Linked DNA regions of Rattus norvegicus. The protein of the gene in region 4 purifies or fractionates together with the protein of the main gene of each other region. This does not show direct contact. Links are inferred from orthologs where the notes say so. Each region holds a gene or a part of one and is shown on either strand. Other genes may lie near its edges. The genes, in order: Mcm5, Cdk4, Chuk, Hsp90ab1, Erbb2, Ppp5c and Ikbkb.

What was found.
Region 1: the proteins of Hsp90ab1 (region 4) and Mcm5 fractionate together in Homo sapiens (co-fractionation; 3 studies listed by BioGRID, with this or other methods). This does not show direct contact. The link is inferred for Rattus norvegicus from reciprocal best matches to the Homo sapiens genes HSP90AB1 and MCM5.
Region 2: the proteins of Hsp90ab1 (region 4) and Cdk4 purify together in Homo sapiens (affinity purification with mass spectrometry; 5 studies listed by BioGRID and IntAct, counting the BioPlex papers as one, with this or other methods). This does not show direct contact. The link is inferred for Rattus norvegicus from reciprocal best matches to the Homo sapiens genes HSP90AB1 and CDK4.
Region 3: the proteins of Hsp90ab1 (region 4) and Chuk purify together in Homo sapiens (co-immunoprecipitation; 3 studies listed by BioGRID and IntAct, with this or other methods). This does not show direct contact. The link is inferred for Rattus norvegicus from reciprocal best matches to the Homo sapiens genes HSP90AB1 and CHUK.
Region 5: the proteins of Hsp90ab1 (region 4) and Erbb2 purify together in Homo sapiens (co-immunoprecipitation; 5 studies listed by BioGRID and IntAct, with this or other methods). This does not show direct contact. The link is inferred for Rattus norvegicus from reciprocal best matches to the Homo sapiens genes HSP90AB1 and ERBB2.
Region 6: the proteins of Hsp90ab1 (region 4) and Ppp5c purify together in Homo sapiens (affinity purification with mass spectrometry; 6 studies listed by BioGRID and IntAct, with this or other methods). This does not show direct contact. The link is inferred for Rattus norvegicus from reciprocal best matches to the Homo sapiens genes HSP90AB1 and PPP5C.
Region 7: the proteins of Hsp90ab1 (region 4) and Ikbkb purify together in Homo sapiens (affinity purification with western blotting; 3 studies listed by BioGRID and IntAct, with this or other methods). This does not show direct contact. The link is inferred for Rattus norvegicus from reciprocal best matches to the Homo sapiens genes HSP90AB1 and IKBKB.

What each region holds. Positions count from the first base shown.
Region 1 is NC_086037.1:13,495,313-13,498,812, reverse strand, and holds part of Mcm5 (DNA replication licensing factor MCM5), read right to left. Parts: coding exon 3,374-3,500; intron 1,912-3,373; coding exon 1,745-1,911; intron 1-1,744. UniProt on the Homo sapiens protein: Acts as a component of the MCM2-7 complex (MCM complex) which is the replicative helicase essential for 'once per cell cycle' DNA replication initiation and elongation in eukaryotic cells.
Region 2 is NC_086025.1:64,770,193-64,774,252, reverse strand, and holds the start of Cdk4 (cyclin-dependent kinase 4), read right to left. Parts: upstream 2,801-4,060; 5' UTR 2,660-2,800; intron 2,205-2,659; 5' UTR 2,189-2,204; coding exon 1,971-2,188; intron 1,840-1,970; coding exon 1,704-1,839; intron 1,592-1,703; coding exon 1,424-1,591; intron 1,275-1,423; coding exon 1,165-1,274; intron 459-1,164; coding exon 408-458; intron 320-407; coding exon 184-319; intron 1-183.
Region 3 is NC_086019.1:252,934,274-252,937,773, forward strand, and holds part of Chuk (inhibitor of nuclear factor kappa-B kinase subunit alpha), read right to left. Parts: intron 2,261-3,500; coding exon 2,191-2,260; intron 586-2,190; coding exon 497-585; intron 1-496.
Region 4 is NC_086027.1:22,929,245-22,933,222, forward strand, and holds the start of Hsp90ab1 (heat shock protein HSP 90-beta), read left to right. Parts: upstream 1-1,178; 5' UTR 1,179-1,223; intron 1,224-2,448; coding exon 2,449-2,595; intron 2,596-2,768; coding exon 2,769-2,975; intron 2,976-3,188; coding exon 3,189-3,348; intron 3,349-3,617; coding exon 3,618-3,978. UniProt on the Homo sapiens protein: Molecular chaperone that promotes the maturation, structural maintenance and proper regulation of specific target proteins involved for instance in cell cycle control and signal transduction. Undergoes a functional cycle linked to its ATPase activity.
Region 5 is NC_086028.1:83,921,101-83,924,600, reverse strand, and holds part of Erbb2 (receptor tyrosine-protein kinase erbB-2 precursor), read right to left. Parts: intron 2,368-3,500; coding exon 2,294-2,367; intron 2,213-2,293; coding exon 2,122-2,212; intron 2,005-2,121; coding exon 1,805-2,004; intron 1,326-1,804; coding exon 1,193-1,325; intron 1,104-1,192; coding exon 1,013-1,103; intron 272-1,012; coding exon 111-271; intron 1-110. UniProt on the Homo sapiens protein: Protein tyrosine kinase that is part of several cell surface receptor complexes, but that apparently needs a coreceptor for ligand binding. Essential component of a neuregulin-receptor complex, although neuregulins do not interact with it alone.
Region 6 is NC_086019.1:86,839,706-86,843,930, forward strand, and holds the start of Ppp5c (serine/threonine-protein phosphatase 5), read right to left. Parts: upstream 2,801-4,225; 5' UTR 2,789-2,800; coding exon 2,668-2,788; intron 1-2,667. UniProt on the Homo sapiens protein: Serine/threonine-protein phosphatase that dephosphorylates a myriad of proteins involved in different signaling pathways including the kinases CSNK1E, ASK1/MAP3K5, PRKDC and RAF1, the nuclear receptors NR3C1, PPARG, ESR1 and ESR2, SMAD proteins and TAU/MAPT.
Region 7 is NC_086034.1:76,020,640-76,024,830, reverse strand, and holds the start of Ikbkb (inhibitor of nuclear factor kappa-B kinase subunit beta), read right to left. Parts: upstream 2,801-4,191; 5' UTR 2,718-2,800; intron 2,447-2,717; 5' UTR 2,425-2,446; coding exon 2,320-2,424; intron 1-2,319.

The DNA.
Region 1 (3,500 bases), on a different chromosome or scaffold from region 4:
CAGCCTAGATCAGAAGCACCCTGACATGCCGTCAACACACCAACCGCTCTCAGCACCAGGACAGTCAGTCCCTCAGGAAAAGGAAAGCTAGGGCACGGGGCTGCATCAGTCTTTCAAATCTCAAGGGGCCAGAGAGGAAAAAAGTTCCAAACAGAAGGCCAGATCACATACTCTTGAGGACACTGGAAAGTCTCTCATAGACAGATAGTCAGTGCAATTGCTCGATCAAAACAGCTTGAGCTGCTGAGGAAAGGAGATGGGACAAGTGAAGAGGGTGGGACAGGTGAAGCGGGTGGGACCAAGTGAAGAGGGTGAGACAAGTGAAGCGGGTGGGACCAAGTGAAGAGGGTGGGACCAAGTGAAGAGGGTGGGACCAAGTGAAGAGGGTGAGACAAGTGAAGCGGGTGGGACCAAGTGAAGAGGGTGGGACCAAGTGAAGAGGGTGGGACCAAGTGAAGCGGGTGGGACCAAGTGGCAGAGGGCTTTAAAAAAACAACCCAGGAGACAATAGTGGGACTCAGAGCAGGGAGGTAAGAAGTGGCCATAAGGGCTGGAGAGATAGATGGCTCAGCGGTTAAGAGCACTGACTGCTCTTCCAGAGGTCCTGAGTTCAATTCCCAGCAACCACATGGTGGCCCACAACCACCTGTAAAGAGATCCGATGCCCTCTTCTGGTGTATCTGAAGACAGCTACAGTGTACTTATATATAATAAATGAATAAATCTTTAAAAAAAAAAAAAGTGGCCATAAAAGTAGAGCAGCCAAGCAGCTTGCTTACTGGGTAAGGGGATTTAAAAAACAACATAGGGAACTGAAGAGGATCTGGAGGATTTGCTAAGCAAGGGGAGGGAAGGCTAAAGAAGAGCCGCTTTCAAGAGATGGGAAATGCATGAAGTGATATGGCAAGTCAGGAAGAGTCCACGTCTGGAATATGGCCAGATGAACCCATAGCTTTTCCAGTTTTAACCAAGGGAGCTAGCTCCTACCAACACGAAATATGGACACAGTACTAGAACTCCATCACTCTAGACCAGAGGTAGGGACCATTCCTCAAGGCAGCTCCCGCTGTCCCTGGATGTAAGCATGAGATCTCTGCTCCATCTCAGAGTTGAGGCTCTTTACTTGACCCCTACCACTCGACCCTGTCACTTGCACCCCCACCCCCACCCGCCCTGAGTTCCCACCAGTTCTCCTTTATACTTGAAAGGACCTCCCTCACACCGACACCCTTCAAAGCCATTGCTCACACTCCTGATAGACGACTCCTTCCCACAATGCTCAATGGAATAAAGCAGTTCAATGTCAGATACCTGTCCCTTAGGGGCTCCTTTTCCAACTAGATCCTGTCTGCTCACACTTATGCACTTTTTCCTTTCCACCCACCAAGATGCAGCACAGGACACACACCTCATCCCATCTATAACACCAAGTCATGCAACTCAAGCATGCATTCAGGCAACAACTTAGGGCAGCAGCTACAAACTACACCAGTAAGTAGAAAATTTAGGGCAACAAACTGTTGCTGTAAAAATGAACACCCTAGGATAGGGAATACTGCTAAGTGGTAGAATATTTGTCTAATGTGGCGCGCGCGCACACGCACACACACACACACACACACACACACACACACACACACACACACACACACACACACACAGCACAGCACATCCTAACGGTTTGAGCAATTCAAGAATGCCTAGGTTATCACGTGAGCAGCTTGTAGAATTCAAAGCAACTCACCAGAACCATCTGTGTCTACCTGGATGCCCAGCACCCGGATATAGGAGCTCCGAATGCCCACACCCACTCTGTCCCGGCCCTTGCTGGGGTTCATGCCAAACTTCTTGATGGAATAAATGCCCATGATGGTGACCCTGTTCCCAGGAACAACCTTGTCACACAGGTACCTGGGTAAAGTGCAGGGAAGATAAAGATGAGCAAATGGGATTCAAGGTGATGGACGGTGTGGTCAGCTCAGTGCTTCTACCCTAAGTATCACTATCAAGGCAGCTCAATCCCTGTGTGGTTTAAGAGTTAGTAACGGAACCTTTCCCTGCTCCTGCTACCACACACGTCAGCCTGCATAGTTAGCACAGTGTCAGGATGTTGGCCTGACTCTCACTGAACTCAAGAGGTCAGGTGCTGTACTGGCAGAGGTGAGGCATGGTGCCCTTGCCAAGCCTTCAGAAGTCCTAGCTTATTTTAGCTGTGACCAGGCACCCTAGGGCAAACTTCCTCCTCAATCCCTTACGGACTACGTGCTAGCGCTACCCTCCCTCCCTTTCTGCCTCCACCATACTCCCTGAGCTCAGCGCGGTCAATCTGCCTCTAGTTTTCAGTCATCTCTTTAACAATAAGACGTTAAGCAGTTAAAGTCTCCATGTTTCCCCAGAATCAATATAGCTTAAAGGACCATAAGGTAGCTGTGTGAATTCAGAAGTCACTGTGCCTCTCTGAGCTTGAAAAGAGGACTCTGACTTGTCTCAGCTGTTGGGAATCAAGCAAGGTAACCAACAAACTGAAAGGTGTTCTATGTATATCAAATCAGTCTCAGCGAGGACAGATACTATCAAATCAGTCTCACCGAGGACTGTTTTTGCTACATACACTGTCCTATTAACTTCCTACCCATTCCACGATGCAACCCCCCAGTTCTCTGAATACATAAGAGAAGACTCTAATACAATATACTCAATTGTGTTAAACTCTTGATAATGGCTTTTCAGGCACTCTGTCTAGGAAAAAAAAATTGGGACTTAGTATATAGTTTCCCCAAGCTGAGTCTGCACAGTTTTGTCAATGATAAAGCTGACAACTGTGGATCCACTCCCCAGCAAGCTTTACATCTGATACTCATCCTCAGGTATATGAGCCCAGGGTAAAAACTCAGGGATCCGTAAGCCTTCATCTAGGTCATTTTGTGACTATTCAACAAAGGCCCAAACTAGATAGGAGCTAGCACTGCTTCTGGTTATCCAGCTCTGTACTAGGAGGGATAGAGACTGTCCTGGAAGACACACAGGCCTTAGTTCTACTCATAAAGTCATCTGACCTCCCTTAGTTTACAGTACCCATGTAAATAAAGTAGGAGTGGACATGCCTTGCAAACTATGGGAAACAAAAAATGACAAAGTCGGGGCTGGGTGGCTAAGAGCACTGACTGCTCTCCAGAGGTCCTGAGTTCCATTCCCAGCACCCACACGGTGGCTTACAGCCGTCTGCAATGGGTCCGATGCCCTCTTCTGATGTGTGAGGACAGCGGCAGTGGCTCACACATAAGATAATGCACCAGACACAGCGAGGGCTTGAGCCTACACTGCCACCAGATGGAGTGGCGTGCACACCAACCCACAGCCCCTGCACACTTACCTGTCACAATACAGCTGCATGTGCCTGGGCATCTCACCATGAGGGACTGCATCAGGCAGTTCCTGCAGTTTCAGGGTCTGGAAGTCCACACACTTGCACTTGTCAGGCATGATGAAATATGGGTCCA
Region 2 (4,060 bases), on a different chromosome or scaffold from region 4:
TTACCAGGGGATCTGTCCATCTCGCCACAAGAATGGCACTACAGAAGCACCTGACTTCTACGTGGATTCTGGGGATTTGAACTCAGGTCCTCAGTACTTATGCAAAGGAGCTCTACCCACTGAGCCAGCTTCCCAGGCCATGCCGTGTCTTGTCTTAACCCAATCCCTGCTCAGGCCCAGTACCAGCAGCAACTGCGCTCCAGATTCCTCCATCTCCGGCACCACTGACTGCACTGGCCGAGGTCCTCTGGGGGAAAAGGCTCCTCGAGGAAGAGAGACCTCTCGAGGCCAGTCGTCTTCTGGAGGCAATCCAATGAGACTGTAGGGACAGGACAACTGTCAGGAGGGGCCCCTTCCCAGCCAGTTGCTATGGAATGTTCCTTTCCTTTTCCTTAGTGGATACTTACTCAAAGATTTTGCCCAGCTGGTCAGCCTCAGAGTTCCCACAGAAGAGAGGCCTAAGGTAGAAAGATAGTCAAAGTACATTCTTTTAAAAACCGGAGTAACCGTTAAGTGGACCAAACTAGAGTGTGGAGCTAAGGAACAGGAAGTTACTAAATCCAGGGCATTTCAGATTTGCCCATGTGGTTTCTTTTCTAGGCAAGGTGATTGGTATGAACTGGGTAGGCTGGGACTATGGCTGGATGGCAGGGGACCATGCCTATGGAAACCCCAGGTTGGGTATCCTGCACTGTACATGCACAAGAATGGTCAAGAACAGATAAGTCTGTAAAAGACCTGGGGCAGAGTGTTTAGTTTAGTGGTACAGAGGCATGGCTGAGGGGTTGGGGATTTAGCTCAGTGGTAGAGCGCTTGCCTAGCAAGCGCAAGGCCCTGGGTTCAGTCCCCAGCTCTGAAAAAAAAAAAAAAAAAAAAAAAGAAAAGAAAAAGAAAAAGAAAAAGAAATAGAGGCATGGCTGAGTGTACGTGAGTCCTGATTCCAACCTCTAGCACCGTGAGAGAGCAGCAAAAGATCTGTGGAACTGAAGGTGGCTTAAGAGTTTCAAGTCCCAGCCAGGCAGTGGTGGTACATGCCTTTAATTCCTGCACTCTGGAGGCAGAGGCAAGAGTTCAAGGCCTGCCTGATCTCGTTTCTGTGTAGCCAGCGCTACACAGAAAAACCCTGTCCCATGGCAAACAAAACAAATGTTTCTAGTCCCATACTTCCGGCGAAACATCTCTGCGAAGATACAGCCAACACTCCACATATCCACAGGCGTTGCATATGTAGACTGCAGAAGAACTTCAGGAGCCCGGTACCAGAGCGTAACAACCTAAAGAGAATAGGAGAAATAAGTGAGTGTTGTCCTCGTAAACAACTGTTTGGCTCTGAAAACTTCAAGTACAAGACTCCTTAGTCGCTTTGGGAAACCACCAAGCCCTACCCCGAATCCCAACCTATTCCGGCTACTGTCTTACTGACCACAGGCGTGAGGGCCATCTGGTAGCTGTAGATTCTGGCTAGGCCAAAGTCGGCCAGCTTAACTGTCCCATTACTTGTCACTAGAATGTTCTCTGGCTTCAGGTCCCGGTGAACAATGCAGTTTGCATGAAGGAAATCTAGGCCGCTTAGAAACTGGCGCATCAGATCCTGGTTTTGAAGAAAGAAGCAGAGAACTGTGGAAACTATGTATCACTGTGTCCAAAATCCCAACAAGTTCTACTGCACATATCAATCCACCTCCACCCACCCCTCCACTCACCTTAATGGTCTCAACAGGCAAGCCCGGCGGAGGTGCTTTGTCCAGGTATGTCCGTAGGTCCTGGTCTATATGCTCAAACACTAAGGTGACCTTGATGTCCCGATCAGTTCGGGAAGTAGCACAGACATCCATCAGCCTGAGAAGAACAAATGGTCAGGAGCTGGCCATCCCCTTTGTTTCAACATGGCCTCTGGCGTTCTAGGGTCCCACTCCTGACTAACGGGTCCTATTGTCCTCTCCGCCCCACTCCCAATCCAACCTTCTCACCGTACAACATTGGGATGTTCAAAGGCCTCCAGCCTTCTTAACAAGGCCACCTCACGAACTGTGCTGACGGGAAGGCCCCCTCCAGCTGCTCCTCCATTAGGAACTCTCACACTCTTGAGAGCCACAAAGTGGCCACTGTGGGGATCTCGGGCTTTGTACACCGTCCCATAGGCACCGACACCAATTTCAGCCACGGGTTCATATCGAGTGGTAGCCATTCTCGGAGCAGGGGATCTACAATCACAGAGGCTTCTAATACCAAGCTCTCTCTCACAGTTAGGAGGAGATGACCCGGCAGTAACAAAGAAACTCCTGCACAAGACCTCACCAACATTATCACCAGCATCCCACCCTCCACACATCCAGGGCCCGCGCTCCTTAGGTAACACAAAGACTTCCAACAAACCCTCTTCCAGCCACGTTTTGTCCTGGAGGAAGAAAAGAATGCTTTCTTTTCTTTCGGAGGACCATTGCGCCCGGCACAAAGAAGATCACAGTGCACAGGGCTTGCATGGAACAGTCTGCGCTTCACTCTCTGAAATCACACCCTCGCCCACGACCACAAAGGCCCCACTTCCCGCCATTGGGCCACCTTCCATACTCAGCCAGCGACGCGCACGCGTGGGGAGCTGGAGGGTGCTAGTGCTCGTGGGGACTGGCCCCCCGCTTCTGGAAAGGGTTGCACTCACCTTACGCTCGGCCAAGAGCTGCGGAGGTGGCCCTTTATCTGGGCCCGGGAGCCGTTTCCTGCGGCGCCATACACCGGGGATCGGTCCCGGGCAGCTGGACGCTTCGGGCCAGACCATAGACACAGGCCGCGAGCTAGAGAGGCCCCCTCACCCCCACCCTCACCATGTGACCAGCTGCCAGAGAGGCGCGCGGAAACCCGGGAGGCGGGGCCGACGGCGGACGTTCTGGACACGTGACCTCCACCCATGCGCACTCGGCGACCGGGGCCCCTTTGATGGGAGGGGTGTGGTGGGGGAAGAGGGCGGGACCTGTACTGCCACGTGACCTGTTGCTATCCCACGTGACCCCTTTACTTTGCGCTGAGAAGCGGAGGTGTGGTTACGCTGTGTGGCACGTGACCGGCTGCCAAACCCTGACTGCGGAGGGGGTGTGTGGGGGCGAGAGAGGGTGGGGCACAAGGCGGTGCCATGGCAACCGGGCCAACCAGCTCTCAACGCTCAGCTCAAGGCCGAGCCTGAGAGCATCTTCAGTCTCACTACGCGTCTCTATGTGGGCGGGAGGTCGAGGTGCTAGTGGGAGATCCTGGTGCCAGAGATGGTGCTGTAACATTTCCACTCCACCGCCATGGGGAAACATTCGTATTTGTGTCTTCATTTTACTCATTCATTCAACAAAATTTTACTAAGTGCTTCCTTCCAGTTGGTATGCGATGTTTTTGTTTTGGTGTCTCAGTCACTCCGCCCTTTGAAGTGATGATAAAGATAGCTAATAAGGCAACCGTGGTCTTATAAAAACAGGGAGTAGACAATTTCTATCCGAGGAGGAAACTAAAAGATGGATAGAAGAAGATTAACATAGTAAGCCGCTGTATGGGGGGCGACAATGTAATGCCCTCCTTCTTCCCAACTTGTAAACCTCCCCAGGAATATTAAAAGCAGCAAGAAGTTATTGGAAATAAGGGTTCTTGATCTTACAAGTGTCTTTACACTAAGATTGCTATATATATATGTGATTGCATGAACAGACAACAGGGTGAGCACATCCAAGGGCAGTCACCACCACATTGCTGGAATATGACTTGTGTCCCTCTGCAAACCTGTGACTCCTCATAGGGGTCACATTCCTTTTTTTCCCCAGTCCTGCTTAGAACGTACCCTTGCCCTGATCAGCGTTTCCTAAATGGTCTGCCTACAGAAATCTAGTCAGATAGAGGTAGATCTGTGTGACGATTTGGTTGGCTCCAACTCCTTTATTGTCTCCCATCAATTAGGAGCATGAGGATAAAAGACCATGTTCCCAACTGTGAAGAATTGCTAAAATCTAGACCTATTTTTGGTGCCGAGGATTGGAGTCAGTGTTTTTATATGTAGTAAGAATTGGTTCAGTCACTGAGCTATATT
Region 3 (3,500 bases), on a different chromosome or scaffold from region 4:
GGTCAATATTCCTAGTCCAGAGATGAGCAAGACAGATGCTTCTCTAAGGAGCCACTGTTCCATAGAGAAGGAAAAAAAAAAAATCTAACCACAAAACCACCATTCAGGGGATGGACAATTGGCCAGGCAGTTACAAGCACTGGTTGCTCTTGCAAAGAACTTGAGCTCAATTCCAATCACTTACACAATGGCCACAGCCATCTGTAATTCTAGACCCACGAACTCTGGTGCCTTCTTCTTGTGTCCTCCACAAGCACCATATGTGGTACACATATACAGAAAATAATAACAACAAGCACAACAATAATGTATCTAAAACAATAACAATAATAAGTCTAGAATTAAAAACCCTACAGTTTAATTCAGTGAAGACCACAATAGAAGAATTATAAAGTACTATGTGTATATAATTAATGAGAAAACTAAAGTCTCTAAAGTCTTAATGTACCAGGGAGACTATAACGAAAAGCATGAACATTCTTCAGGCTTCACCTACCTTCCCACCAACATCTTGAAGCACTATATTTTCAGGTTTTAGATCTCGATGTATAATTTTGTTTTCATGCAAATAACGAATCCCAGATCCTAAACAAAATTTCAAGTGTATTGTGAAATAACAGAAAATACTGTTTAAAAAATCATATCACACTTTGTTTTTATTGTTAGAGTTTTGAGACAGTTTCATGTGCCCTGTCTGGCCTGGAACCCCTATGCAGCCAAGGATTACTTCACTTCTAATTCCTAATCCTCTTGTTCTCCCTCCCAGTGCTGTGACTGCAGGCATGTTCCAGCACCCTCAGCTCTTTCCTTAGACAGGGTCTCACTATATAGCCCTGGCTGGCCTGCTGGTCTTGATCTCATGGAGATCCTTCTATCTCTGCCTCCCAGTGTTAGAATAAAAGCTGTGTGCCACCATGTCTAGCTACAGTCAGTTTTTAGCTCATATTTCTATAGATCTACACTGGTGCAAAAATTATGTCCAGAGCCATTATGGAGATGGCTCAGTGGATAAAAGTGAATGCCGTGAAAGCCCAAGGACCTGAGTTTAACCCTTGTCCCTCCCCCCAACACACACACACACACACACACACACACACACACACACACACACACACACACAAAGTCAAGTATGACTTTGTGTAACAATAACCCCAGCAGGGTTAAAAAGAGGAAAAGGCAAATCTCAGGAACTGGCTGGTCAGCCAGCCTAGTCGGAGCATGGAGCTTCTAGTTTAGTCAGAGACTCTGTCTCAAAACAATCAAGTTAAGGAAATGAGAACATCTGCCATCCTGCTGTTGCCTCCAGATGCATGCTGTGAGTGTGCACCAACAATCGCCCCCATGTACCACACACCACACCTCCCCACATTTACACGATCTATCACAGCTGCACCGCCATTAGGGTAGTTCAGATTTTCTTCACCAGAAGTTCAATGACATGAAATAAACACTGGAAAAATTATATTATATACTCTTTTAATTTATTGGAATCAACATTAAAAGCAAATGGAACGATTAATTTTTCCTGTAATTCTTATGGTCTTTTCCTCCCACCTAAATCACATTCTTTTTTTTTCCTTTTCTTTTTTTCGGAGCTGGGGACCGAACCCAGGGCTGAACCACTGAGCTAAATCCCCAACCCCCTAAATCACATTCTTAAACTAGATATTACTGTCCTTGACCCAGGAAAAGAAGCAACACTAAAACATAGAGGGAAATGAATTCTTGCTTTTTGAGGTTTCTTTAAAGGTCTAGTTTATGGTTATTTTAGGGATTTTTTTCAGTAGTAATTCTGACTAGAAGGAGAATTTCCTTCCAAGATAACTTGAGGAACTATCCCTGAAACATGTAATTCCTCTATAAACAAACTATTATGTCAGTGTGGGGGGAGGTATGAGGGGGAATGAGATGAATGTTGGTTCATACCACTTTTCTCATCACTGGACCATCTATTAGACAATAATACATAGCCAAAACCAAACAACAAACAAAACCCCCTCATATAAAAACAAATGCCAAATGTACTAGTTTTCATTAGCATCATAAGAAATGGATAATTCTAATTTTTCAGAGATATTAAAATCTATAAGTATATATATGTAGTTCTCCTTCCCTTCCAAGCAGTACACAGAAGTTTCTGTGGACCAAAGGGGCATTAAATCGCATGATACTTTAATATTAGTTACATACCTATGTCACTCAGTAAAGAAAGGATCTGGCTCTCTTTAAGTCCACAACAATTTTCTGGTTTGTTGAGTAGCTAAAGAGAAGAGAAGAAAAGAAAAGACATCTATTACTGCTGAGTGGCAACAGCGAAATCATCAACCACTATACCGTCAGAGGACACTCAAGTAAAAAAGTCACGCTACAGAAATTATAAGGATTGGGGCATAGTGGTGCATGTCTATAAGGCCAGCACATGGGAAGATGAGGCAGGACCCTGAGTTCAAGGCCAGCATGGGCTACATTGAAAGTCTGTTTTGCTACTTGTAACAATGACAAGAGATAGAAGGGTAAAAAAAAAATCATGAAATCCATACTGAGGTTGAATAAATTTGATGAGAAGGCTCATATGGAGTAAAGACGAGGGCAATAGCACTTGAAATTGAAAAATGCTGATAAAGAGATACATTTAAAATTAAATACAAAGAGTGATTATAATAAAAAGACAAGTTTTTAATAAGCCCCACAAATGTTGATATTTTTATTTAATATGACCAGCATGTTCTAGGCCAAGCATGGTGGCACATGCCTTTAATCCCAGCACTCAGGCAGAGGCAGACAGATCTCAAGACCAGCCTGGTCTAAAAAGTGAGTTTTAGGACAACCAGGGGTCCATAGTGAAATGCTGTGTCAAAAACAACAAGAACAAGAACAAGAACAACAACAACAACAACAACAAACAAAGAAACAAAAATAAAATTAAATTAAAAAAACCTAGAATGTATATAGCAATTAGTGGTTTTGGTTTTTTGTTTGTTTGTTTGTTCTTTTGTTTTGTTTTCTTGCCAACTTGGCGCGAGCTGGAGGAAAGCTCACTTGAGGCAATGCCGATCAGGCTGGCTAGTAGACAAGTCTGTGGGTCACTTTCTTGATTAGCAGTTGATGTTGCATGGCCCAGCCCACTGTGGGAAATGCCACCCCTAGACAGGCTGCAGTCCTAGATTATAACAGCAAGAAGGCTGAAGGAGTCATGAGGAACAAGCCAATAAGCAGTGCTCCTTCATGGTTGCCACTTTAGTTCCTGCCTTACTTTTCCTCAACGATGGGCTGGGATTGGTACATACAGAAACTTTAATTTTCCCAGGTTGCTTCTGTTGTTTCTATTGCTGTGGTCTTTATCACAGCAATAGAAAGCATTAAGACAAAGATTAACAAATATTTTCTGTATGGAGTCAAATATTAAGTACTTCAAGCTATGGAAGTCATAATTTCTGTTCCACTACTCAAATCTAGAACTGTTCATAAGCAGCCATAACATGCACAGAGCTGTGTTCCAA
Region 4 (3,978 bases):
TCTCTAGGTTCAAAGAGCTGCAGTAGGGAAGAGGGCTAGCTAGAAAAGCGAAACCAGCTTGAGAAACAGCTTGTGCTCGCAAAGGGAAGGCACATGTCCCCGCGCGCCTTGTACGTGGGCGACCCGGGAGGCTGAGGGTTGGGGAGTGTTCTACCCAGTAGCGTTCGGTTTCCCGTCTCTGTTCACAGAAAGGTGTCCGCAGTCACTCACCCCCACAGCCCCCGTGCCCTGTGACCGATCCAGGTCAGCCATCCCTCCCCCCTCTGCGCTCCACACCTCCACAGTAATGTGGGCCTTCCAGGGCCACGAGTCGTACAAACGTAGCCCATGGTACAGAGACTTGGGGAAAATATTTCCCCAGGTTAAGATCGTGGCAGAGAAAAAGAACCAGCCGAAAGGCGATGAAGACACAGCCCCCGCCGCAGCAGGGGAGGTGGAGCCTCGGGGGGAGGGGTTGAGACCGCCGAGACAGGCCTAGAAACTGCTGGAAGAAATCGAAGCACCGCCACTGCTGCTCCTTCCGCCACAGGCCGCCAAAGAGTCCCTGCTAGCCCAGGCCCGCGCCCCTCCCCTCGGAGAAGCTGCTCCCCGCCTGCCGCTTCGCTGTACCGGGGAGGGTGGGGATCAGGGACTCCTTAAAGTTGGACAACGAATTTCTTATCATCCTTTTCTCTCGATGTGCGATTTGTAGGGAACATTCTAGTAAGATCGGGTCTGAAAATGGCAGCCGAATTGGTCACCTCCGTTCTCTTTCAGAAGTCCCTTGAGGACTGGACTCTTGAGGGTGGGAGCGCCTACATCGAATTTTCTGCGCGAGTCCGTGGGGTATTCGCCGCAGATACATCCCCTAATAGCATATGCATGCTCCCTGGCCATCTTGAGGGCTACATGTCCTACTCATGCAGAAATGAGGGTACCAAACGCTATTGAATTGGCCTTGACTCGCAGCCCAGGCCCGGGGTCCCGCTCTTCCCCGCCCCCTCCCCGGTCTGCGAGCATGACGTCAAGGTGGGCGGGCGGTGGCAGGTGCGTGGCTGGCAGCCACTCCTTTAAGGCGGAGGGATCCAAGGGCGGGGCTAGGGCTGTGCTTCGCCTTATATAGGGCGGTCGGGGGCGTTTGGGAGCTCTCTTGAGTCACCCCCGCGCAGCCTAGGCTTGCCGTGCGAGTCGGACGTGGTCCGGGCCCACCCTGCTCTGTACTACTACTCGGCTTTCTCGTCAAGGTAAGGCCGCGCTCTCCTGTACTTGGCGGCTCCGTGGGTCTTCTTCCTGGGGTCTCCGCCAACATCTCATCTGAACTAAAGGCTCCTTGTTGGGCTGGGCGGTCTGCGGGGATAATGTGCCTAGAATGTCTCCAGTGGCTCATGGTGGACCCCGGCGGGCTTGCACCGCGAGGCTCCCCCGGGGCCGGTGGATTCCCCAGAGCGTGAGGTGGGGGTGCGGCCGGGCCAGGTGGTGGGCGGCCGCACGTGGTAGCCGCCGACCCGGGACGCTGCCATGTTTGCCCTCCACTTCCGGGCGCGGCTGCAGGGTCCATAGGGTCCGCGCGGTGGCGGGCTGCTATGTGCATGACTCAGCAAGACGAGGTTGGCCTGGCTACCTCCCCCGGACGCGTTTCCCAACGTGTTTTGTTCTGGGGAGGGGTACAAGGGTTGGCAGGAACGCTTGAACCCACTGCGTTTGTCCCTTTCCAGATCTTTCTGCTGCCCTCCCCGTGGAGTGGGAGGAGAAACGGGGAGGGAGCAGGTACGGGGAGATTCTTAGGTCCCTCCCTTACTCCTCCCCTCCCGGGAGCTCAGATTGTTCTGGAAGCCTCGGGCGCCCCGCCCCAGTGCCCGGATGCTGGGGCGGTGGGAGGGCTACAGTGGCGCCCCCTCCCCGTGAGTCTCCTGGCGACGCATGTCCGGGTCGCCGGACGGCTGGGCCACCATTTTACTTGTGTTTGGGCCTATGCAAGTCTGCACAGTTCAGCGTTCATGGTGGAGCTTTTTACCTCTTTGTCCTGATTTAATTGCCCTTTGAGTCCTTCCAGAACTATAGCTTCGGGTTTTCTTGCCCTGCCGAGGGGAAGAGCACAAATCCGTTTACGGGAGGCTGCTCTTTCTGTTAAAGTTGATACTTAACCCCAGTGAAGAATGAAGAAGAAATTGGGGATCTTATTGTATAGTTAACTCAGTCTGGATTTTTACTATATCGGCAGGTGTTCTGTTCTGAGTCAGGGAGCTGAACTCTTAATATGCCGTTCAAAAAGTCTGACATTTGGACATTAGTTTGAAGAGCCATCCTTTGGGTTTTTTTCCATTCTTGATTTGTCTTGCCACTGTAGCTTTAAGGTCTTTCTTTTATTTCTTTCTTTTTTTAAACAAATGGCGGTTCTAGTCTTGGGAATGGGTACTACCCAGATTAAAGAAGTTTGAACTGAACTTTTAATAAGACTTTCATTCTTAGATGCCTGAGGAAGTGCACCATGGAGAGGAAGAGGTGGAGACCTTCGCCTTTCAGGCAGAAATTGCCCAGCTGATGTCCCTCATCATCAACACTTTCTACTCAAACAAAGAGATTTTCCTCCGGGAGTTGATCTCTAATGCTTCTGATGTGAGTGTTCTGTTGAATTTCTAAGACGCCACAGAAGAGTGTGAGTGAGTGAGTGAGTGTGAGAGAGAGAGAGAGAGAGAGAGAAGCAGGGAGTGATTAGAGTAATCCAGCAGTTGATGAGAAGGAACTGTTTGGATAAATGGAATAAGTGGCTGTGTACGTGTACATTACAGGCCCTGGACAAGATTCGGTATGAGAGCCTGACTGACCCTTCCAAGTTGGACAGCGGGAAAGAGCTGAAGATTGACATCATCCCCAACCCTCAGGAACGCACGCTGACTTTGGTGGACACAGGCATTGGCATGACCAAGGCTGACCTCATAAATAACTTGGGAACCATTGCTAAGTCTGGTACAAAGGCGTTCATGGAGGCTCTCCAGGTGCGTGTGTGGCCTTCCACCCATGCCATTCTCAATTTGTTACTGCTTCTGGCTTGCTAATTTAAAACTTGTCAGACTAGGATGTGTGGTCTGTCTTTCTAATAAGTACTTGTGGCCTAGATTCTGGAAGTTGAACTGATTACTACACTTGCTCAGCAAGCGGTTGTGCTTGTACAAGAACAGTTTTGCTCACTCTCTTACAACCCTTTGCAGGCTGGTGCAGACATCTCCATGATTGGGCAGTTTGGTGTCGGCTTCTACTCTGCCTACCTGGTGGCAGAGAAAGTGGTTGTGATCACGAAGCACAACGATGATGAGCAGTATGCCTGGGAGTCTTCTGCTGGTGGATCCTTCACTGTCCGTGCAGACCACGGTGAGATGGCAGTCTACGTTGGGTTGGTAGAATTCTCTGGGGGAAAGCCAGAAAGAAGCAGCCTTAATAGTTACTGTACTCTATAAAAGTACATTTTTGAGGGGTGAATGGCAGCACTTGGGACATGGCATACACGGGTGGTGGGTGAGTTGAGGCAAGCCAGGGCTGTGCAGAAACAGATCGCTTGAGAAACCAGGAACAAAAAAGAGGTGTACCTGTTTGTTGAGTATTTTAGTTGCAGTTTTTCATGTCTGGTTCACTCTCTGTAGGTGAGCCCATTGGCCGGGGTACCAAAGTGATCCTTCACCTCAAAGAAGACCAGACAGAGTACTTAGAGGAGAGGAGGGTCAAGGAGGTGGTGAAGAAACACTCACAGTTCATAGGCTACCCCATCACCCTCTATCTGGAGAAGGAACGCGAGAAGGAGATCAGTGATGATGAGGCAGAGGAAGAGAAAGGGGAGAAGGAGGAGGAAGATAAGGAGGATGAGGAGAAGCCTAAGATTGAGGATGTGGGATCTGATGAGGAGGATGACAGCGGCAAAGATAAGAAAAAGAAAACAAAGAAGATCAAGGAGAAGTACATTGACCAGGAAGAGCTGAATAAGACGAAGCCCATCTGGACCAGAAA
Region 5 (3,500 bases), on a different chromosome or scaffold from region 4:
ATAAGTTAAACCAGCCTCATATTATCGCACCCTTCTCGTAATACGCTCTAAAGAGGCTCCTGTCATGAAGACCCTCTCTTCTACTGAAGAGACTCACTCCCTCCACTCACGAGTGGGTGCAGTTGATGGGGCACGGCTGGCATATGCCCTCCTCATCCGGGTACTTCCAGATGGGCATGTAGGAGAGGTCCGGTTTCACACCACTGGGGCAGCGAGCCACACAGGAGGACGAGTCCTTGTAGTGGGCGCAGGCTGCACACTGATCAGCCTCCTGGACAGACAGGAAGGGTTTGTGAGGGTTTAGGGCTGCCATCCCTCTAGCAAAAGGACTGGGCCCTGTGTCCCCGAATCAGAAACACTGCCTCCCAGTTACTGGAGTAAACATCCCTGCTCTTTACAAGGAAGTGGAGGCACCCGGAGAGGGACGTGCATCCCCTAAGGTGTGACAAGTGACAGCCATTATGTACAAAGGTTTTATTTCATGCTTGGGCACTGCGCCAAATCCTATTTAATTCTGTTCTCACCACACCCCAACCAGGTAGGGACTATTACAACATTCACCTTATAGAAGGGAAAACTGAGGCTGGAAACATGGCCTGCATTTGGTCCTTAGCATAGCCACTGCCAAGGACACAGGCCTTCTTGGAACCTTGTCCCAGGCTGAAAGGGCTCCAGTGTCAACAGCAGGAAGAGGTAGCCCAGAGTCCACAGCACAATGTGAGCAGCCCCCAGTCCTCCAGTCCCCCAGTCCTCCAGTCCCCCAGTCCCCCAGTCCCCCAGTCGCCCAGTCCCCCAGTCGCCCAGTCCCCCAGTCGCCCAGTCCCCCAGTCCCCCAGTCCCCCGTCCCCCAGTCCCCCAGTCCCCCAGTCGCCCAGTCTTGGCCTCCCTGATCTTCCCTGCTCTGTCTCTCCAGGCCTGAGTGGAGTCCTTCTCTGGGAATATTTCACCCGGCAGCAACCTCCTGGTCCCTCAGCCTGCCCCTCCCTCAGCCCTGAGCCCACCAGCACCTCACCGATCCAAAGCAGGTCTCTGAGCTGTTTTGAGGCTGACACTCGGGGTGACACGGCAGACAGCGCTTGTCACTCACATACTCCCGGGGGAGCCTGAGAGAGAGGCGGGTGTAGTAAGGAGTTGGTCGGTGGGGGTTGCCCCCGAGTACCCCTCCAGCCACCCACTCCTCTGCAGCTCATACCCCTTCCATACTCGGCACTCCTCCACACACTCCTGGCCCCGAAGGAAATGACTGCAGTTGACACACTGGGTGGGCCCTGGCCCCCAGCAGTGCCCGTGGGCACACAGTGAGTTACAGACCAAGCCCTCGAGACCTGCAGCGAGGAGAAAAGCAGCAGACGGAGGTGTTTGGAGAGGCTCAGGTCTAAGGGAAAAGGCTATGAGCTTGTCTCCAGGCTGAAGGGTTAAGGACTGGTGCTGGGACATGCAGGTTCAAGAAAAAGGGAAGGGGTTGGGGGGATGTCTGGCAGCACAGACGACACAGCTGAAGCCATGCTCAAGACTAAGCCGTCCATAGGCAGGCAAAGAACAGGGCTGTAGCCCGGCCTGATGGTGCACACGCCTTTAATCCCGGCACTCGGGAAGTAAAAGCAGGTGGGTCTCTCTGAATTTGGAGGCCAGCCTGGTCTACAGAGTGAGTTCCAGGACAGCCAGGGCTACATAGTGAGATCCTGTCTCCAAACAACAACAGGGCTCGGACACGAGGTTTGCACCGGCCGCACCGGAGAGGCTGCTGACAGAGGCTCCTGATACTCCTCTGTACTGACCCTCAGTGCTAGGCTGCCTGTCTTACCACAATCCTCTTCCGGCCGGTTCCCACTGTGGAGCAGGGCCTGATGTGGGTTCCGGAAGAGCTGGTCCCAAGGTACAGTGTGTACAAAGCAGAGATGGGCGTTGCGGTGAATCAGAGCCAATCCACTGCCCAGCTCCCGCAGTGAGCGCAGCCCCAGCGAGTGGATCCCCAGGCCTTGCAGTGTCAATGAGTACGCGCCACTGTGGAAATGGGGTTTCCAATCTCAAGAAGGTACCTACTCTAGGCCCACTTCTGATCACCGAGGGGCCACAGGGTATGTAGCCATGCCTCCTAGGCTTCCTTTCCCTCCCACTTACTCGTGGAGAATCCGTCCCCGAATGATTCGAAGGTTCTGGAAGACACTGAGGTCACGGAGACTGTCTGGCCATGCTGAGATGTACAGGTAACCTGCAGGCCGAGGGGGGGATGGGTATGTAGAAAGGTCCAGAACTCCCAGCCCCCTCGGAGGAGGACAGACAGACAGCCCACCTGTGATCTCCTCCAGGGTTTCGAACACTTGGAGCTGCTCAGGCCTCAGCGGAGCAATGCCGGAGGAGGGGTCCCTAGAAGGATCCGGAGGAGTCAGCGGAGCCCCGAAAGGCCTTGGCGACCCCCTCTCCACCCTCACAGATGCCTTCACTCAAAGCCTATCAACTAGGCTGTTCCCATCCGAAGACTGAAGCCTAGGGTCAAAGTCTGGCGCAGTAATATTTGTGTCCTTTGGTCTAGAAGTCTTATTTGTGGTATATCCTGCATGGACACTGGCTTCACTTCCCAGAGGCATAAACAACCTGAACTGTTTGTAGGAACGACATCTGAACAGGGTGCTGTTAACATAAAACCCTGATCCCCGCAGATTCTAAAATACGAACACAGGGGGCGCTCAGCATCCGTCAGGCGCCTGTCCCAACTATTAACTTTCTATCTGACTCTAACCACCTTGAGCACAGAGCCATGCCGGTCCTCCCTTTACACGGGAGGCACTGAGGCGTAGGAAAGAGAGGAGGAGGCAATGAGGCTAAGCAGTAGGGCTCAGCCCCACGAGCCTGAGGACCTGCGTTCCATACCCCGGAACCACAGCATCCACAGCGGCAGGCAGATCTTCAAGTTTGAGGCCAGCCTGGTCTACTGAGTGAGTTCCAGGGCTACACAGAGAAACCCTGTCAGGAGGAGGAGGAAGTGGAGTAGGAGGAGGAAGTGGAGGAGGAGGAAGTGGAGTAGGAGGAGGAAGAAGTGGAGTAGGAGGAGGAAGTGGAGGAGGAGGAGGAAGTGGAGGAGGAAGAAGTGGAGTAGGAGGAGGAAGTGGAGGAGGAAGAAGTGGAGTAGGAGGAGGAAGTGGAGGAGGAAGAAGTGGAGTAGGAGGAGGAAGTGGAGTAGGAGGAGGAAGTGGAGTAGGAGGAGGAAGTGGAGGAGGAAGAAGTGGAGTAGGAGGAGGAAGTGGAGGAGGAAGAAGTGGAGTAGGAGGAGGAAGTGGAGGAGGAAGAAGTGGAGTAGGAGGAGGAAGTGGAGTAGGAGGAGGAAGTGCAGGAGGAAGAAGTAGAGGAAGAGGAAGAGGGAGAGGAGGAGGAAGAGGAAGAGGAAGAAGAAAGCAGCAGCAGCAGCTCATGTGTGATGCTGAGCTTGTGATCCCAGCACTAGAGATGTAAAATCAATTCCTCATGTTCCCTGGTCATGGCTGTAGCCTGTTTTAGTGAGC
Region 6 (4,225 bases), on a different chromosome or scaffold from region 4:
AGGGGTGCAATAAAAGCCAGCTGCAATTATTCTTTTTATTGGTATCCTTATAGTCTGAGCCTGGGGTTCTGTGCTTGCCACTGCCTGCCCACAGTAGTGGGAGGCCTGCATCCGGAAGGGTGCTCCTTCAAGCCAGCTCCAGGCCAGGCCCCTCTGGCGGCCTGCCCAGTCCTAGGTTCCTGAGAGCCTGACTCTTAGGACCTGGAAGGTAGGTAGGGGTGGGGGTGAAGGGTCCCTCCTGATAGCTAACTCCATCCCCCACTTGTCCTCAGCAGCAGTAGCCCAGTTTTTGGTTGATCTTTTCAGGACCCAATGAAAGATGGCCGTGCCTTCCAACCAATACATAGCTGGGCCTGGTCAACTGGTGCTGGCAGCCTCCAACCTTCCAAACCCTGCAAGCTGGGCTTACTGTCCCGATAGTATCTCTCACACCCATTAACTTCCCTCCCTTCTAGCAGCCCCACCCTGCCCTAAGCTCTGCCCTCCCCTGCAGAGTCCTATTCTGCTGTAGCCTGTATCTTGGCCTCCCAGCTTCCTGCCCTGTCTTTTAGAAGGCATGAATCTGGACCAGCTTTAGTTCTCCAGGGCCTCAACTGATAGCTCAAGTCTCCTCCGGAGCCTGCCATTACCTTCTGTCTGTAGTTCCATCCTAACCCTCCTAACTACCTCGAACTCCTGCCCCACTCACCTTGGGCCTTAGCCACGTGCTCCCCTCCCCATCTCCAGGCAGCCAGCCTGGTGGAAGGCTCCACCTCCTCACTGCCTTCCCTGGTCCTCTCTCCAATCCAGCCTTTGGATCCAATCTCTGAACAGCAGGGAGGACCAGTATCTGTACCCAGAGTAACTGGACCACTCTCTGGAAACCCTCCACAGCTCCTTGCCGGCTTCAGGATGACACCTATGAACCCACTTGACCCTCTGAGGCTCTAACTCTGGCCTCCCCTCTCTCCTTGCTATGTCACCCCCATCCTCCTCAGCCCCCCCGAAAGCTGGGTTAACGGACATGCATCACTACATCTGGGCTTATCCCCATGGAGGTCCCACCTTTCCCTAGGACTCTAAATCCTTCTCACCCTCCCCCACCAGATCTGTTACAGCTGGGCCTGTTTCTCTTTTGGGCCATATCTGAAAAAGCATCCCTAGGGACCCCCACCTACTCCCTCTGGCCATCTGCCCCGATTCTCCATTCCCCTTCAGAACTGAGACACTTGTGCCTGTTGGTCTCCAACTCCTCCCTTGCATTCGCCAGCCAGGGTCTTCTGGGCTAGCAGCTTCTTTATCGTCCACAACTATCCTCAACATCATCACCATATTCATCTGGGAGCAAAACCTCTGACGGACAATGCCTGGGGCTAGGTGACCAGGCATATGGCTTTCTTTCTGGAAGAGCCTTGCTCTCTTAGCCTTGGCACCTTTCCTGGTTTCTCAGTCACTTCTCCTCAGCAGCCCCCTTTCCACTGTAAACATGAAAACTCCATTCTAGGTTCTCTCTGGATCCCACTCTTGGGTGACTTCATCCATTCCCAGGGCGCCTCCAACCAAAGGCTGGATACACCCAAAATTTTCTCCAGCCCAGACTGGCCTACCTACCTACTCAATGTCCTTTTTGGGACAGCCGAGGAAACACAAAACTAGTCTTCAGAATGACTTCACAGATTTTGCACGCTCTGGCCCCTTTGCCAATCTTACCTTGTATCAGTCTTCCCCTCATACCCCCAGTTTGCTCAAGCTCCAACTAAGCCAGTTTGTTTTCATTCATTCTCCACCCCGGGGTACACAAGATCCATGGTAAAAGCAAGCTCGTGTAAAACTCCTTCCCAATTCTCCTTAAACCCACGTTTAAAACTCCTTCCCAATTCTCCTTAAAAAGCCTTTCTCCAGGCACTCCAGACCTCACCACCTAAAGCACATTCTAAGCTGTATTCCCTACTTTGTCACCTTGAGCCAAAGTGATCATCACAAGTTAGCAATTATTGGTTCTGCTTAAATCCGAGTCATGCGTTTCATTCATTGCTACAGCCTCAGAGCCAAGCACAGGCCGTGGCACATGACTCTTATTTAATACAAGTGTACTGAAAGAATGAATGAATGGAGACATGTCCTCCCACATCGCACTCTTATCCCAAGATCACCCTATTCGTTCCTGCTCCACCTCTACACCCTACTCCTTTCCTTGGATCACCCCAAATCGCCTTCCAATATAATTATCTACTTCCATCCCCATAATTCACTTCTCTGTTTGGGCCTTCTCTCCTCAGTTGGTCATATTCCCCTCAGGCCTCCCCGCTCGGCAGCGCCATCACTGCCCTAAACACATGTCACTATTTGGTAGCGCCCTCTTCAGGTCTGACCACCATTTAGCATCTCTGTCCAGGTCTCTCACATTTGGTAGCACTCACATGTCGGCCCCCTGCTTGTCCCCTATCCTTTAGCAGCGCCTGCCTCAGTATCCCCAGTGAGTAGCTTCTGCTCGGTACTCCACTTCTCAGTAGCTCTCCCCCCGTCTGCCGTCCATCCTTGGCCTTCTCCTCGCGCCGGGCTACTCAGTAGTGCCTGCCCGGCGCCCAGGCTGCCGCTCCGCGTTGCCATGGTTCCCCGCGGGGCCTGGCACCCCCACGGCCTGGGCCGCTGTCCACCCTCCCTTACCCCGGTCCGGGCCGGACGCACCTTTGAAGTAGTCGTTGGCCTGTGTCTTGAGCTCCTCTGCCCGCTTCAGAGTGCCTTCGGCCGGGGGTTCGTCCCGGGGGGGCTCAGCACACTCAGTCCGCTCGCCCTCCGCCATCGCCATGCCGCAAAGCGACCCCCACCCTGGCAACGGCCACTCGCGGCACCAGGCCGAACCGTCGCGAAGGAGTGCCGAGTGACCGCCGCCGCTGCCGCACAAGTGTCGTAAAGCGCGGGCCCCAAAGGCACTCCTGACGCGCCTGCGCGGCGGCCCCCCCACTCCCTCCACCCTCCACAGAGCGCCCGGAGGACAAGGTGACCAGAGGGTATCCAGACGGCACTCGTAGAAGTAGCCAATCAGAAAGGAGAGAGAGAGGGCCATGGGGGTGGGGGCAGGTCCGGAGGGCGCCTGTTTCCAAAGTTTGCGAGGCTGCAAAAAAGTTTCTTGGGTCTTGGAGATCCAGGCTTCATTTAGGGTTGGTGATTGGGTTGTGATGCCTCCGGCGGGTGGGGCTGCTTTCAAGTCAGCACCCTGCCCAACCGGGAGCTTGCTTTGGAGCTGGGTGCTGCCATTTACTCGTGTGACCTTGAACAAGTCTATCTCCTGTCACCCCAGTGACCCTTCTGGAAAATGGGTAGTTTCTCAAGCAAACAAAATAAAACTTGAATGTTTTAAGTCAAAGCTCTTTATGAATTATTAACAGGGCATCCCAATCTTCAAGCCTTGAGCACGTATCAGTTGTATCGTGTTCCGAGACCAGCAGCATCTTTATTATTTTATTTTTTATTTTGAGACAGGGTTTCATTATGCAGCCCTGGCTAGCCTGGAACTCCCTATATTGACCCGGCTGGCCTTGAACTCAGCAACCCAAACTGCCTTTGCCTCCCAAATGTTGGGATTTAAAGCTTTGCACCATCTTATGAAGTCCTAGGAAAATCTTTTAGAGGGTCATGGATGTAGCTCAGTTGATAGAGTACTTGTCTAGCATGCTCCAGGCTTGAGTCCCATCCCCAGCACCATATAAACCAGACTGAAAGATGCACCTCTGTCATTTGAATGATTGATAGGTGGAGGCAAAAGGATCAGAATTTCAAGTTCAAGGCCAGACTGGGATACTTGAGACCCTGTTACAAACACAAACAACCACACCAAGGGGATCTCTTAAGTGAGGCTCCTGTTGCTGGCTGCATTTCTTGGCCTGGATCGCAGCTTCAGCCTCCTCTGATGCTTGCTTCATCCTCCCTCCTCCACTTTACCTTCCATATGGCAGTTAGAGACATCTTGCTAGAACACTGTAAGACTGGCACCCGCCCCAACCTTCCATGGCTCCCCAACTCCCTTAGGAGAAAACCCAAACTCTTTCTGAGAAGCCATGGCTAGTCTAGCCTCCAGTAACATCTTCAGATCCCACTATGTATCTTCCTATTCTAGAGTCTTTAAGTCTTCTGGATAGACGCTAACACCAAGTGCTTTAAGGCTGTGTATCAGCCTCACTCCTCCTCCACCCCTCAGCACAACCAGCAATCACTCTGGAAATAGATGTTGGTGTCCATGTCTGTC
Region 7 (4,191 bases), on a different chromosome or scaffold from region 4:
GGCTTGGGTCGATTGTGAAGAGCTAAAGAGTACCTACAGAGTAACTGGCTATGGTTTAGGACATGTCCTAAACTCTAGCTCCAACCAGAAGAAGCCACGGCAGGGCATATCGTCCGGATAGGAATAGATGCATGTGTTAACGGCATAGCCTCTTTTGATAGATTACCTAATTCCCTTGTGCTTCTGATTCCTCGGTTATAACACAGGAATTAGAGGTGCCAACACCAGAAGTAAAGCATGTAAGTAAGGTAAGGTAAAACAGACCCAGCAGGTAAGAAACCTACCCCGACCTTGACATGTAAGAGGTTTGCAGCAATGACCCTGGTTCTTGGGCCACATTTCTGACTAGGGCTCTTTCAGGCAATTTCTCTGTGATAGCTACAGACTATTCCCTTGCCTGTAGACAAGGGAAAGCCTATGAGGTAGCACGAAGATGCCTGATGCCATCTCGGCTGCATGCGCCTAGAGGCTGGGGACAGAGGCGCGTCCCACAGAAGGCATGCTGCGTCTTCCGATCTTAGGTGTGGGTTAAAGATTGCTTCTATGCACCCAAAGCAGCCCCGAGGCTACCCCAAGATCCGTCCATGAAGACAGCAGAGGACTTCCAGGTCTAAGCAGGCATGTTCCCCAGCCAGCACCACTTCAGCCAGACTCCTCCTGAACTCTAACCCCTACCCCCTCTATCCACCCAAGTCCTGTTTATTTTAACCCCTAAACCTCTTCAGTCTGCCTATTGCTCCCCATCATCACCACCACCAACCAAGCTAGTCTCTCACCTTGACCGCTTAATTTTGAGTCAAGACCTTGGTTTTAGCTGTTTAGGAAGGATTCCCTAGAAGGGTGGCCTCTTGTTTTGGTAAGTTTCCCAAGGGTTGCCCAACACCGGAATCCTAAAATGTAAAAATAGGCCTCTGGAGAGAGAGCACTTCCCCAGGTCTCTCAGGAGGTTGGGTAACTGGCCTGGCAGAAATGAAGACATTCTAAAGAGGTAGTTTTAAACATTGGATGCCAGAGAGATGGGAAATTCCCCAGAAATTTCATGGTGGGAGAGAGGAAAAACTACCAGCCAGAGGGGGAATTTGTCTTCTGGGCCACAGAGCTTGAACACACTCTCAGAAAATCTCACAGGATGACAAAAAAAAAAAAAAAAAAAAAGGACCTGTGGTAGGCTGGACCAGACTGCTTACATGTGCATATCCTTGGCGTTCTATTTGAACTTTAATCTAATGTTAGGATCATGGAGATGGATGTGGGAGGTTTGCTGGATCTGTCTGTCCCTCTTCCCAATGTGACCTCGCCGTGAATGAATCCCTTGTTTTCCACTATTTTAATTGACTTACTGAGGACCCAGCATAGGGCACAGGCTGTGACCCCCAAGTGTGACAATTACACTCACGTGCCCTGAGGTAAGTAAGTGTTCTCCAGCAGAGACATCACAAGCAACGTGTGCCTTTTAGGCATTATTACGAACCAATTACCCAAATTGGGTAAAACAATCTCATACAGTAAACAAGTGAGCTAAGAGAGTCCTGCCAAGAATCGCAGTGTACTTACCGACAGCCCAAACAAAAAAAAATTGGAAGACCAGAAACTTTTAACCTGAACAACTCATGCCAGACACTGAAGGGCTAAAATAATAGGAATAATAAGCAGATCCCAAAGCAAAATCAGTCCAAATCATTCCGCATTATAGGGGCTGCACATTCTCACCCATTAGCCTTAATCATACTAAGGGTGTTTTGTGCAGAACCATACTAGAAAGAAAGAAAGAAAGAAAGAAAGAAAGAAAGAAAGAAAGAAAGAAAGAAAGAAAGAAAGAAAGAGAGAAAGAAAGAGAGAGAGACAGAGAGAGAGACAGAGAGAGAGACAGAGAGAGAGAGAGAGAGAGAGAGAGAGAGAGAGAAAGGAAGGAAAAGAAAGGAAAAAAAGAAGAAAAAACCTTGGAGTTATTAACTACCTAAAAATACTTTAAATAGTTATTTAAAATGTTTTTATTTCTCTCATCTTTTAGCACTGCCTGTATTCTACAACATTTATCCCTATGTAATCTATCACGTGTTAGTCTAAATATTAGTAAATGTATAATTTTAAAATACTTGGAATGACAGCTTACTCCCCCCCCCCCGCCCTTCTAAGTATCAGGGTTATTAAGGTTTTTAAGACTCAGTTTAGCAGCTCACAGGTCCCCTTTGCAGTCCCTTTTCTTACACTCTCATTGGACCACGCCAAGGATAGGAGGGGATCCACCCATCCACACCAGGCCAGGACAGAAGAGGCGCCAAGACAGATCACCCGCCCTCCCCGGTGCCAGAGCCCTACCTGATTGTGCCACCGGATGACGTTTCCAAATCCCCCAGTTCCGAGGCGTTCTTTCATTTCCCAGGCCCCACATGTCTGGGTTGGGAGAGAAGGTGACCAGCTCATATCGATGCCCTCCCTGCTAACTCTAGAAGCAAGTAGGAAGAGAGGACAAGTTGAGAGTAAGAACACTGGAGCTCAAGAAGCAGGGGGAAGCAGCAGCGGCTGCTGCCTTCAAGGGGAGGCTGGGCTAGGAGACCGATTTAGTTAACAAATAAAAGTTGCTGCGGCCCGGCCCGCCGGCGGGTCCGCTCCGCACCGCACCGAGCGCGGTGCAGCCAGGGACCCCGGGGAGAAGCCGAGCGTGCACCCGGGCGAGCCGGTCCACCGGCCACGAGCCACCCTCGCGTGGGACTCACCTGCCCCGGGGGCCGCGGGGCCGCTAGCGACACCCGCTGAGGACATGAAAACTCGGGGTCCCCACGCAGCCAGCTCAGCGCCACTTCCTCAAACACTTCCTGCCCTGACGTCACGGGCACTTGACGGCTCTTAAAGGGGACGCGCGAGCCGCTCGCTGGGACTGAGCCACAGCCAGCCGTGGTGCTGGACCTGGCGGTGCAGGACCTGGCGGCTTGGAGAGTTCTTCACCCTGGCGCTTTTCTGACTGAGCTTGATCCCACTGGCTTAGGCAGTTAATCTGCTAAACCCCCACTAGGGCTGACTTAGGGACTGTCCTAAGAATTGCTTCCCTGTCCTCCCACCATTCGCCATTCGGAGCCCGAACGCTCCTGGTTCAGAAATAAGAATAAGAAACCACCCTTATGCTCCTCATAACACACCACCATCCCCCTCAAGGGGGGAGGGAGGAGAGGGAAGAGTACAAAGATAAAACAAAAGCTAGTGCTGTCTACCTAAACTGGAGTTTCAGCACTGGGAGCATAGGGAAATTACTTGTTATTAGGTCAAGAGCCTGGGTATTGCCACTCCACACCCCTACCAGCCCCCACCCCTGCCTCGAGCAAGCCAGGTTCAGCCACTCACCTTCCATAGCCTAATTCATGATACAAGTAGCGATGAAAGGCGGGTGAAGAAGTTTATTCAATGTGACTACATTGGGAAAAGACAAGAGATCCAATCACTCTCACCCGTACCTCTGCTAAGCCAAGTCCAATTTTGGGGTCCTGCCATGGGGTTTGGGTTTAAATGGAAGGGAAGAGGTATACATAACTAAGTATTTGTGCTCAAGGTATGTTCTGGTCCACCATCATTGATGAGGCTCCAGTCTCTCCTATGAGGTGGCATTTGTCAGAACCGTGTGAAAGCTCTGCCTGAGCCAGGCTCCTCTGCTGTTAGCACAAGGCTTCTGACATTGCTGGCTTTTTAGACAGCGGACAGCAACCAGCGAGGCCAACAGAGTCTTCCACGGATTGAATGATAAGTCCACGGTCTTTGTGGGATAACTAGGGAACTCTGAGAATTTGAACTCAGGAATAGAGCAAATAAAGCACTTCTCACTCTTTTATTGTTAAAGCGAGCAAAACACGAAGTGATGTTGACAGAGAGCTTTCGCAAATACAAGGACAACAAGGGAATACACTTGGTATTATGTCTTATCATCCTTGGACGTGTGAGGAAAAAAGCCAAGAATATTCCTCCCAGAACTTCGCCCCTCCCACAGAGATAACATGGACATACCCTTCGGTCCTCGCTTTCACCGCCATCCACTTTTTATAGGTTATGCAATTATTTCTAGAAGGCCACCTTGTGCGAAGAACATTCTGCACTCTGCCCTGACCACAGTTCTCAGGAAGGTCACAGCTTTCTTTCTTTTTTTTTTCTTTCTTTTTTTTCTTTTTTCTCAGAGCTGAGGACCGAACCCAGGGCCTTGCGCTT